Linked DNA regions of Neurospora crassa OR74A. The main gene of each other region encodes a partner of the protein of the gene in region 3 in a complex. Links are inferred from orthologs where the notes say so. Each region holds a gene or a part of one and is shown on either strand. Other genes may lie near its edges. The genes, in order: NCU03233, fes-1 and cyt-26.

The links.
Region 1: the proteins of cyt-26 (region 3) and NCU03233 are in contact, whole or in part, in a cryo-EM structure (PDB 8ABA), measured with the Yarrowia lipolytica proteins. The link is inferred for Neurospora crassa OR74A from reciprocal best matches to the Saccharomyces cerevisiae genes CYT1 and QCR9. Residues at the interface, in XP_500165.3 of Yarrowia lipolytica: Pro127, Met131, Leu132, Ser133, Thr134, Phe135, Asp136, His137, Ala138, Arg141, Gly167, Val168, Thr169, His170, Thr171, Glu174, Glu287, Asp314, Lys317, Lys318, Leu321, Lys322, Ile325, Val326; in XP_500389.1 of Yarrowia lipolytica: Phe29, Phe33, Glu34, Ile37, Asp38, Phe40, Trp41, Ile44, Asn45, Gly47, Lys48, Gln49, Trp50, Ile53, Tyr57.
Region 2: the proteins of cyt-26 (region 3) and fes-1 are in contact, whole or in part, in a cryo-EM structure (PDB 8ABB), measured with the Yarrowia lipolytica proteins. The link is inferred for Neurospora crassa OR74A from reciprocal best matches to the Saccharomyces cerevisiae genes CYT1 and RIP1. Residues at the interface, in XP_500165.3 of Yarrowia lipolytica: Arg163, Lys176, Asp186, Glu187, Pro188, Arg195, Lys200, Ala202, Val326, Ala329, Met330, Leu333, Ser334, Tyr336, Ile337, Phe340, Asn347, Lys349, Ile351, Tyr352, Asn353; in XP_499709.1 of Yarrowia lipolytica: Gly39, Lys40, Ser41, Thr42, Lys44, Pro46, Asp47, Phe48, Tyr51, Phe64, Ser65, Met68, Ile69, Ser71, Phe72, Leu75, Ser76, Ala95, Asp96, Ala99, Met100, Glu104, Lys119.

What each region holds. Positions count from the first base shown.
Region 1 is NC_026501.1:4,990,464-4,993,955, reverse strand, and holds NCU03233 (hypothetical protein), read right to left. Parts: upstream 2,063-3,492; 5' UTR 1,938-2,062; coding exon 1,935-1,937; intron 1,868-1,934; coding exon 1,854-1,867; intron 1,728-1,853; coding exon 1,662-1,727; intron 1,591-1,661; coding exon 1,542-1,590; intron 1,484-1,541; coding exon 1,436-1,483; 3' UTR 608-1,435; downstream 1-607. Other genes in the region: NCU03232 (RNA binding protein Pym), read left to right, coding at 2,472-3,068. UniProt on the Saccharomyces cerevisiae protein: Component of the ubiquinol-cytochrome c oxidoreductase, a multisubunit transmembrane complex that is part of the mitochondrial electron transport chain which drives oxidative phosphorylation.
Region 2 is NC_026504.1:1,785,001-1,788,747, reverse strand, and holds fes-1 (ubiquinol-cytochrome c reductase iron-sulfur subunit), read right to left. Parts: upstream 2,343-3,747; 5' UTR 2,136-2,342; coding exon 1,862-2,135; intron 1,537-1,861; coding exon 1,448-1,536; intron 1,326-1,447; coding exon 1,175-1,325; intron 1,054-1,174; coding exon 872-1,053; 3' UTR 144-871; downstream 1-143. Other genes in the region: dim-8 (DNA damage-binding protein 1), read right to left, coding at 2,823-3,134, 3,203-3,747. UniProt on the Saccharomyces cerevisiae protein: Component of the ubiquinol-cytochrome c oxidoreductase, a multisubunit transmembrane complex that is part of the mitochondrial electron transport chain which drives oxidative phosphorylation.
Region 3 is NC_026501.1:4,145,184-4,148,930, forward strand, and holds cyt-26 (cytochrome-26), read right to left. Parts: upstream 2,380-3,747; 5' UTR 2,146-2,379; coding exon 2,071-2,145; intron 1,828-2,070; coding exon 1,673-1,827; intron 1,525-1,672; coding exon 1,462-1,524; intron 1,370-1,461; coding exon 697-1,369; 3' UTR 85-696; downstream 1-84. Other genes in the region: aro-7 (DAHP synthase), read right to left, coding at 3,195-3,355, 3,440-3,747. UniProt on the Saccharomyces cerevisiae protein: Component of the ubiquinol-cytochrome c oxidoreductase, a multisubunit transmembrane complex that is part of the mitochondrial electron transport chain which drives oxidative phosphorylation.

The DNA.
Region 1 (3,492 bases), about 850 kb from region 3:
AGTTTTCTCTTTTCCGTGGGGCTGGCTTTGAAGACTAGTATAGTTGAGTCAATTAGGTGGCGTTCTGTGACTCGTCGATGGATTGGCTGGCTTCTGTCGGTTAACCAACAACCGACCGTCAGGACCGTTCCTCCGAGTTCCTTCTTAATTGTAGATCCTGTGGGGGGGGTTTTGTCGGGCTTCTATGGCCGCTGTTGATCCATTGCGAGTTCCGTTGGTGCCATTTGGCCTAACATCCAATTCAGTACTGGTAGACATGCCGTCGGAGCAACCTATGTTACCCAGGTAGGTTTGCAGTCGTGATTGCACCGACACTTAGGACTCCACTAAAAGCTCCTACCATCTTTGACCATAACTCATCCCCATTATATCTTTACCTATCGACATTTGCGAGACAAATCCTGCAGCGAGCTTCGGTATTTTGCGAACAAGAAGGTGCACTGACGCTCGTAATGGTACGTCAGTGGGGGGCCGCACTCCGGGCCTTTAAGTAGAGGTAGAGGTAGCGTAGGCAGAAGGTACTAGGAAGAGTGAAGCCCTGTTCCCTTCTTGACGTACAGTTATGAATGGTACTGTTTATGATAGGGAGCAACTAAACACTACAACTGGGCCACGCTTACCCTCAGAAGTACGCGTGTGCTTCCGCTACTATACCTAACCGAGCGACTTGTTACAAACTGAACCTCCCGTCCTGATGTCGTCCACACCGTATATTGATAATCATCATCGTGCATTGCACCGTGTTGCTCCTGAAGTACCGGTAGAGGTACGGTAGGGACAGAACAAAAAGTTAGTAGGTCAAATGTAGAGGTTCCTCAGCGAATAATCACCATGTCGAGCACCAGCCGGTAGGTACCTCTATACTCTACTACCTCTACATACCACATACCACAGGCCACAGTGCCAGCTAACGTAGCTTGCCAGGGGCTGGCGCTTGGTGTGTGAAAAATCCATGCCGTCCGACCGACCATCAAAGCCGCTGCGTAAAGACGTCAGAGATTGCGAAGGTCAGCTCGAACTGCGCAGTTCATCGAACGCTTCAGCCTGCTACGCAACGCTGGGAAATTTAAAGCAGACATTGCCCACACATACACACGTCCGAAATCCAGGCTGGGCCGTTCGGTTGCCGGGCTTGCTTCATGCTGAGGTTCCTCAGATCAAAAGCTGGCAGAGAGAATTGCTCAATGCTCCTACTCTTCAGCCTTGTAGTCGGGCTATGGTCATTCGTCTATGTGTCTTTCGCCATGGTGAATATTGATTTTGTACAATACGGTAGAAATAGGGGCTTGGTAGGCAGAAGCGTCAGGAAAAGTCGCCCATTCCTCTAGCAATCAATGGCCGTCGACCACGTCCCACTTTCTCCTAGAGGCTGTCGTCTGATCCTCATCGGGTCGGCGTTTCCATGTCTTGAAAAGTTGCTCCCAAGTCGTCATGTTTACTCCTCAGCCTCGACGTACTTGTGGCGGATGTCCTTCCATTGGCGCTGTTCTCCTCGTCAGCAACTGTTCCACACCAGTGTCAATTCAGTCGTAGGCTCGTACCCCCTTGTTGATCTTGTCCCAGACCTTGTCCATGCCGTTGTCATAGGCCCTAGATGGTGCGATTGTTCAGCGACACAAGATTCCCTGTTATATGTTTATACGACTGTCGTGGGTACGTACAACTCGAAGGCGAAGGCACCAGCGAAGACAGCGCCGACAAAGGCGGTGTTGTTGCGGAAGATGAGGCTGGGATGTACGTTAGCTATCGGTGCTCGATTTGGCTTTGGCCCGGGAGATAGGGTCGGGGCCGGTGCCGGGCCGATGGGGGTGGGAGGCGTGTGAGCATGCGCTCGGCGTTGCGGGGATACTTGCTTGTACAAAGCGGACTAAATTGGGAATGCGCGATTAGCATTGGCAGGTTCTGAGCCGGCGTGAGGGCGGAGAGATGCTCACCATTTTGGCAGATTTACCGAGGCTGTAAACGGTGGTTCAGCTGCGTCTCTGACGGTGACGTTGTGTGGGAGATGGGCGTCGCGAGCAATCACGATGTTTTTCGTTGCACTGGACAAAACCGACCCAGCGGAACCTAGAAGATCGCAGATGTCGCCGGCCGGAACCATCCGGAGCAAATGCAGCTCCCCTGATTGGTCAAAGCTATGACCCACTTTCTCCAGGTGCCTCCAAGGCTGCTGGCACCTCTCACAAGCGTGCCAAGCTGCAAGCGGGATCAACCTCGAAGCCACAACGTCGTCCTCATTTTCCAATCTCTTGCTTCTTCCTACAAATTTACTGATTGACGTGTCCGACGGATGCGCATCAAACTGTGCGCATTACGAAAGCAACAATCTCGACACGCGAGGTTCGAGCTCCGGCGAATCAACCATTAAACATTTATACGAAACTCACTACTTCCGAATCGTCGAACGGCATCGCCGCAACCCTAGCCGAACCCCTCATCGAACATCAATAATCCCACCACAATCTTGAACCATGTCTCAGCCAACAAACTCCGGCATCATAACTGACAAAAACGGCGAGCGTGTCATCCCCGAGTCTAAGAGAGCCGACGGGAGTACCAGAAAAGCTATCAAAGTCCGCCCCGGCTACCGCCCGCCCGAGGATGTCGAGGTGTACAAGAACCGCACCGCCGAGGGCTTTCGCCAGCGCGGCAAAGGCCCAGTGCCGGGCGCAGAGGGATTGAAGGAGGACAAGTCGGACCAGCAGCTCAGTGCGGCGGCTAACAAAAATGCCAAACGTCGGGAAGCGCGCAAAAAAGCCAAGGCTGCTGGCGAAATAGAAGGCGAGGATCAGAAGACAGCTGTTGCAGCGGCCCCTGCACTCAAGCCAGAAGAGCTCGACCCGGAAGCCGAGAAGGAGAAGAAGGCCCGGAATGTAAAGAAGAAGCTTCGCCAGGCCAAGGAGCTGAAGGACAAGAAGGATGGTGGAGAGTCGTTGTTACCTGAACAGATCGCCAAGGTTATCAAGATCAACGAACTCATCCGGGAATTGGATGCCCTTGGTTTCGACTCTGAAGGGGAGCCAAAGACCGCAAAGGCTTCGTCTGAACCAAAAGAGGACTCGACCTGAAGCAGGAAAGTGACGATCGAGGATAAAGATCATGAGCATAGGTCCTGGCCGGCAATTGCTATGGCCAAGTTACAGAGACACTGCTCCGCCGGTCCAATTGATGCGCCACACTCGATTCACGACGATCCCTGAACAATCCTTCAGCATGAGCCTAAACTGGGAAGCCTTTCGACACTCTTTGACACTGCACGCCGACCTTTGAGCCTTCTGCCGCTCCGCGCGCCCGCGTTGAGGGCCTGGGGAGCATGGGGTAGCTGTATGAATATGCCATGACGGGAAGTGCTGCTGCTCTGAACGTTGCGATCGGGTAAAGGCGAATGGTCCAAGGCGAATGTCCAAGGCAAATTGTTAAGATGAAAGGGACGACGACGATAAAGAGTGATGGTTTCGAATGCTGCTGGCTGTACAGGGTCTGTACAGTCAA
Region 2 (3,747 bases), on a different chromosome or scaffold from region 3:
CGGGCTTCAGATATAATTACGTTCGGAGAATTCCTCAGACGTCAATGAAACAACCAGGGTAAGCTACCGGTTCGCGGGCGTTTCCTTAACTCAGCTACCAGAGTAGCACGGGCGGGTATACCGACTGGGCTTGATTCGCAAGGTTGGCCAAGCTAAGATTAAGTTGTCAACATCTGTAATTCTGGTCGAGCTGCTCTCCAGCAATTCGACATGTAGCCTGTCTGTCCCACACCCGCATAAAAGGCCATTTGTATTTACCAATGCCGTGTTGGATGATCAGATGCGTTAGCATTGGGAGGTTCATCAGCTGACCTATGGTTTCCTCACAAAGCTCTTAGCCACAGCCGACTGCCATGGGTCGAGGAAGACCTTCTCACGGTACCATGCTCCAGTGAGCCTCTCATACAATAGGATTTTCTACAAAGCCAGTCTATAGGAAAACGCAAGGGTACAACACTCAGCAGCAACCTAGCGCCAAGCTCAGCACCAATAATAGGTATGTAGGGTTGCGTAGGTGAAGAACGCAGTTCTGAGTATATAGAAGTTTCCGACTCTCGAGCGCATATGATCGACCGTGACACCTGATTTGCTGTTGTGTATGCGTATGTGTGTCTTCTGTCTATAGGATAGTCGTACGAAACCGCGTCAAGAACCACGGAAAACAAAAATCCCGTTTTATGGTCTATGACATGCTTCCACTCAAGCCCTTTGTCGCAATACCCCCGTACTAATACAATTCTCCCTGTCATCGTCTCTCGGGCAGCAAGGGAAAAAAAAAGTGGACAAGGGAATATCGAGAGGATTCCCTAGTAGGTTTGGTTAAAAATTGTGTCTTGTTTGTTCAATCGGAAAGTTTTGTCTTTTTGCTCGCTTAACCAATGACAAGCTTGCCCTCCTCAGGGAACTCGTAGAGAGGGATCTCGAGGTTCAGAGGGGCAGGTCCTTTCCTGATACGGCCAGAGATATCGTAGTGAGAACCGTGGCAAGGGCAGAACCAGCCACCGTAGTCACCGGCCTCGCCGATGGGAACGCAACCCAAGTGGGTGCAGACGCCTGTTTTGTTCACACACCAAATGTCAGTCTCCCCACATCGTCGTGTATCCAGGATCTGAGCATCCAAAAATGCTATCCTTCGTCTTGTTCGGATCGCAAAGAGGGACATGGAGGGGCGTACCAAGCATGACGAGCCACTCGGGCTTCTTGACACGGTCGGCGTCGGTCTCGGGGTCACGGAGGGTGGCAACGTTGACCTTGTTGGCCTCTTCGATCTCCGCAGGGGTACGGTGACGGATGAAGACGGGCTTGCCACGCCACTTGATGATGACCTGTAAAAGTAGGAAAAGACCGGGGTCAGCATTCCATCATGGTTTGATCGTCGTCGGGAATCGATGTGCCCAGCTCAGCTCAGCCCAAGCCTTTGCTAATCCGGTTTCGTAGGGATCCTTACGTTCTTGCCCTCGGGGATGGCGTTGAGGTCAACCTCAACCTTGGCCATGGCCAAGACATCAGCGGAAGCCGACATGTTCTTGAGGAACTCTGTATAACACGGTCGCCTCGTCAGCTGTCTTTAGTTCTTGGGTGTTCGTGGGTGCATGTGCAAGATGGCATTTTCCCCATGTATCCATGCTTCAACATCGCCCCAAGGTCCAACCATATCCGCCCCGATATCGAAAGTTGTCATAGTGGTCGCAAATTGGTGATCGATGAGACGGAACCGTAGATAGCTCGCCCCACCATAACAGAACCCCCTTGTCGAATCCCATTGACCCGAACCCATCTGTCCTATGCCACCTCTTTGTTTTCCCCAACCTCGAGGAATGTGTGAAGCTTCCTCCTCAAATCCCATCAAGTCAAGACTCACCCTGGATGGTGGACTTGGCGCCGGCGGCGGTGATGGCGCCCATGGTGCCGACCATGAAGTAGGAGAAGAGCATGTTGGTGCTGGGGGGCGCCTTGCTCATGTATTTGCCGAAGTCGGGGACCTTGGCGGCCTTGCTCTCGCCCTTGAAGGGGCTCTCGAAGGTGGAGGACGAGGAACCCTGGAGGGCAGTCGAGGTGGTGAGAGCGCGAACGGCCCGGGCGGGGGCGGCAGCGGCGCGCATGGCGGCGCGGGAAACGATCGAGACGGGCGCCATTGTGTCGGTAGAATTACTCGCGTGGACAGAGGTCGGAGCGGAGAGAGGGGGTTGCGAGAGCGGGGAGATCGAGCGAGGTTCTGCTCTTTCGGAGTCGCGGGAGGACGGTGGACGTGGGCGGTGTTCCGGAGACGGAATTGACGGCTGCGTAATGCGGTCGAGACGACGAGGCCAAAATCACGGACTGAGGTTTTTCTGGGCCGAGCTTGGTTCCCACCTTTCCCGGCATGGGAAACCGCCATAGCTACTGGCTTGTGGCCTGAGGCACTAACCAACCACAGCGTCCGCCCAGCAGCTAGAGAGCTACTTAATGCGCCGGCCCTGATTGGCTGTGACTGCCTGTTCGTCCACTCTCCGGTTTCTTCCGTCGCCTGGTTCGTCCTGTTGGTGGTGGTGATGGTGGTGGTGGGGCTCACCTCAGCGCGTCACCGCAGCGCCCGGACAACTTGAACTGTCAGCGACTCGGCGAGCCAAGGGTGCCAAGACAGTGATGTCAATTGATCTATTGATCATACATAATTCATTCGTTCATCTGAGGCTATTCACAGACTCATCTTCTCTCACCCTATGCAGCCATGTTTTGAGCACAGCACTTATTGACAACACTTGCAACTGCCAAAATCTTCAGCAGCCAAAGCGATGACTTGTAGACATCCAATCATGCACGTTAAGTGTCTAACCGTTGGCTCAGTGCATCCTCCGTAGCTCCTCTACCATATTGCGCATCTGCTCAACGCTCGGCCCAAGACCTTCGCAGATCTCCTTCTGCGTCTTCTCATCCACATCCAAAAACCTCTCCAGCAACTCCCCATCCAGGAACCTGACCGGCCCAGTCGTTCCATCTGCCTCGGGCCCCCTTTCCGCATTGCGGAATGCCCTGTAGGAGTTGAAATCGAGTTCGCCAACTGTCTTGATCACCGCCGCCAGTTTATCCTGGAACCGAAGTAAGAGGTCTTGTTCGCGCGCAATCGTACCAAACATGTAAATACCGCCTTCCGCCTGTTTTATCAAGTCAATTGTTAGCCTTGACCTTGTGACATGATCAATCTGAGAAACAGGCAACTTACCGTGGCCAAGAACGCTCGAGGAATGATGATGGCGTTCGGGCTAGTCTCGACCTTGATCGGGCGTATTTTGTTCACCTGTTCTCCCAGGTTGAGCTCGCTTGTTATCCTCAGTTGCCGCTGGTCCTCCACTGTCACGCCCTCAGCATTGCGTTGAAGCACGATCAGATTGCCATTGGCATCAGCTTCAAGCCAAGACTCGCCCTCAACGTGAGCCACGGCCGTTGCCCACGCAGAATGCCTGTGTCTCGCGCACTCTACCAACTTGGGGGCTTCGGACTTCTCCCCTCCGGTTTTGGCCGGGACGTACTCGACCAGTGTAGCCGACTTCATCATATCAGCAACAGCAATCATGTTGCCATGCACCGCGATGTCGACCGGATAAGTTGTGCACCGATAAGACGCGAGCTTGACGAGATGGGCCTCAGTGCTTGACGTTTCCTCGTACTGGCTGATAACCACTGTCTTGTGGAGTGCAGCCACGATTTTGCTGCCCATGACCGCCAGAGCGCGACAGCCGCCTTTCAGCTCGTGCTTGAGGACCAAGT
Region 3 (3,747 bases):
GTGATTGAAAACTTCACGATGAGTTTGGGGTCAAGATGTTGTTGCTTGTCAGTGAGTGAATCGAAAAGGGAGGGGAGGGGGCCAAGACTTTGTTTGGAAGGCAAATCAAATGCCAAGCCAGGGGCATCCTCTGTGGCACTTCGTGCTGACATTTACCGTGATTCGGTGAAAGAGAGATTGCCAATCGAGAAATGTCAAGGCTTTCGAAGCTCATACTATATCTCAACTACTCTCGAAGTTAAAGGCGTACATGATGATGTAGCTGACAGGGAAATGGCCTTTACTCTTTGGCATCCGTTCAAATGCCCATGTCGTAATATCCGTATCCTGATCCACTCACATGCAAGTTCAGCTTGACCGTCATACCCATACCATCATACCCTGTCAGACACAGGCAATAACGTCTATGTTGTATTTGAGACCAGAAAATTTGATTTATACACTCTACGACCATCTTCATGTTCAACCCACACGCCCGCACATCTCCGCATTGCCCAGAGTTACCGATCCCGCCCCTGCCCATTCCTTTTCGTTTTGCTCTTTCTGACCGATGCGCAAGAGGAACATGGGGGAGCAAAATTTGGGCAGCAATAGTATATGATACATACACAGAAAAAGACAAGGAAAATCACGCACGTCTCACAACGGTTATTGTGTGAATGTCATGACTTTGCCCTTTGTTGTGGCAATGCTAAATTAGTGGCGGGTGGTGGACTCCTTGGGGGGATCGTAGACGATCTTCCTCGACTTGAGCCAAGCCCACTTGTAACGCTTAACATAGACGCTCAAGGCGAAGAGCACAGAGGTGACAACCAGAACCTTCATACCCATGCGCTTGCGGTCGTCCATCTCGGGCTCAGCAGCCCAGTTGAGGAACTCAACAACATCCTTGGCCATCTGGGAGGTGGAGGCGGGGGTGCCATCCTCGTAGTCGACGAGGCCGTCGTAGAGGACACGGGCCATGGCGATACCGGTACCGGGGAAGTAGGGGTTGAAGTTAAGGCCGGCGCCAACGGAAGCGCCAGCGGGAGGCTCATCGGGATAGCCGGTAAGGAGGGAGAAGATGTAGTCGCAGCCACCGTGGCGGGCCTTGACGATCAAGCTGAGATCGGGAGGAAGGGCACCGTTGTTGGCGAAACGGGCGGCCTCATCGTTCTTGTAGGGATCGGGGAGGTAGTCGGAAAGCTTGCCGGGGCGCTTCTCGATCTCGCCCTGGTCGTTGGGCTCGGTGTCGTACTCGTTCTCTTCGGCAAGAGCCTTGGCCTCATCGACGGTCAAGATGGTGCCGACAAGAGCGCGGTAGGGGACTCTGCTGAGAGAGTGGCACGAGGCGCAGACCTCACGGTACACCTGGAAACCTCTGCGAAGACTGCAGTCGGGCAAAAACAAAGTCGTGAGCCAGATAGTCATTTTGGATTGGAGGCGCGGCCTCGAATGGGCTGGATAGGAGTGGTTGCTTACGCTTGGTGATCAAAGGTCTTGAGCCACTGTTCGTGGACCCAGGGGTACTTGGTAGCATGGAGACTGCGTCAACGGTAAGCTTCGAGTCACTCCATGCCCAGATTCATGCCTATAGTCGAGCTCGGTCGTATATGCCTCAGAACCCATGAGGCAGACCTCGGTCCAGCGGCTAGAGCGGGGCGGATGGTCGGATCGATCGTAGGGGACTCACCCTTCCTCAGCCGGAGTCATGGCGGAAGCGAATCCATAGAGATGGTAGTACCAGGCGATCGAGCCGGCGGCGACGGCGGTGGCAGCGGCGGCAGCAATGTTCAGGCGGAGGGGAGACTCGGCAGCGGCGCCGGAGCTCTGGGTGGAAGCCGAACGCTGCCGGGCACGTCCGTTAGCTTTCCTCGAGGAGCGCGAGAGTGTGAAGGAGACAAGACAGGATGGCTCGGCCGGGGCGGGGATGGTCGGGCAACTGGGCCCCGGACCGGGAGCTCGCAGTAGGTTGACGGTAGCTCAAGCCGGCCCAGACCCAGCCATTCGAGTGGCGATGCGGCCGAGATCTGTTGTTTGGAGGGGCAGAGAGACGAGGACGAAAGAGTTGTCGAAGCAATCGAGACGAACCTTGGCAAATTTGAAGGCGCCATTTTTCGCGCTGGCAAAGGTGCGCGTCGAGCGCAGGCAGGTCCTCGCCAGCATGGTGGGCAAGCTGAGCGAAGCTTTAGGAAAGTATCGCGGGTTCGGGGGACAAGGCCAATTGGGTTGGCAATGTCGGTGACAGTATCAGGTCTGGCGGGCGGGAGGTCGAGCAGGTCCGTCCAGGTGCAAGGTCGGTCGATTCCCTTCACGTAGCGTCGTAGGTAGGACCGTAGGTTTCTTGAATTTCGGGAATCTTAGGAACACTCGCCATCTGATTGGCTGGGCCAATCACCGTGCAGCCTTTCGAGCTTTTACACTTCCCCTCGGCCCCGGCCGATGGATTTTCCGCACTAATTTACCTCATTCTGCCCGCGGGCCTCAGCGCTTTTTGAGACTACCTTGCTCAGTAAGGTAGACACCTCAGCGAGCCCAATCCCGACCTGCAAGTGGAAGTTTCACAAGCGACTAATCCAACTGGGCACAGCTGGGAGCTGGGCATCAGGATCAGGATCAGCATCAGTATCAGCATCAGCATCAGCCAGCATCGCCCCATGGAAATCATAAATGTCCAAGCTCTCGCTGCCCGCGGTCCGCCCCTTCTGTCTTTTCAGCTCACACGGCGACCCAGCGTGACCGGACCTAGCCGAGGAAAAGCTGCCAAGGAAAGCCAGGTTTGAAGCTATACACCACACATACATACCTATGCCGTGGCCCCGTAATCGCAGGTGAAGCTCAGATTTGGTCACCACGGCTATCACGCTTCACACCAACACATCACCACAATTGCATCCCCAAAAAAAAAGGCAACGCAAAACTGTAGTCGAACATGGACGATCCTAGAGATTATCATCGAAAGAAATCCAAGGTAATTGTTTCGTTTTGAGATCCAGACCCGCTCCATCTTTTACCATCTTCTATTGTCTCGACGGCCATTTCCCAAGATGCATTAATACACGCTCTTTATCAAAACACACCACATGCAGAAATGTCAGCTTTTGTGTTCCCATCCCCGCGCCAGCATATATTCGGCATCCCTCACTTAGGGTTCGTGAACCCCTATCAAATGACCCATAAACCATAAAGCAAACAAGACCAGGAATTGGCATGACTTAGGCAGCGGCGTTCTTGCTCAGGACTTCTCTCCTCTTTTTGACGGCCTGCGCAAGCGTGTCGAGAGTGGCGACAGTGTCCTCCCAGCCAATACAAGCATCAGTGATACTGACACCGTACTTGAGGCCGCACTTGCCTTCCTCGGGCACCTTCTGGTTACCTGTACGTTGTGTTAGCGAACAGCTTCAAATTTAGACGGTCATATGCCCCCAATAAAAAAAATAAACAAAATAAAAAGACTTGCCCTCGTTGATGTTGCTCTCAATCATGACGCCCATGATACCAGTTTCGCCGTTCTCAAGTTGTTGCGCAATTTCGGCAGCGACCTTGGGCTGGTTCTTGTGGTTCTTATTCGAGTTGCCGTGGCTGCAGTCAATCATCAGGCGCTGGCGCAAGCCGCTCTTCTCCAGCGCAGCCTTGGCCTCAGCGATGCTCTTCGCATCGTAGTTGGTGCCCTTGGTACCGCCACGGAGGATGACGAAGCAGTCCTCGTTGCCAACAGTTCCGACGATGGCAACGACACCGGGCTTGGTGACGGACAAAAAGTGATGG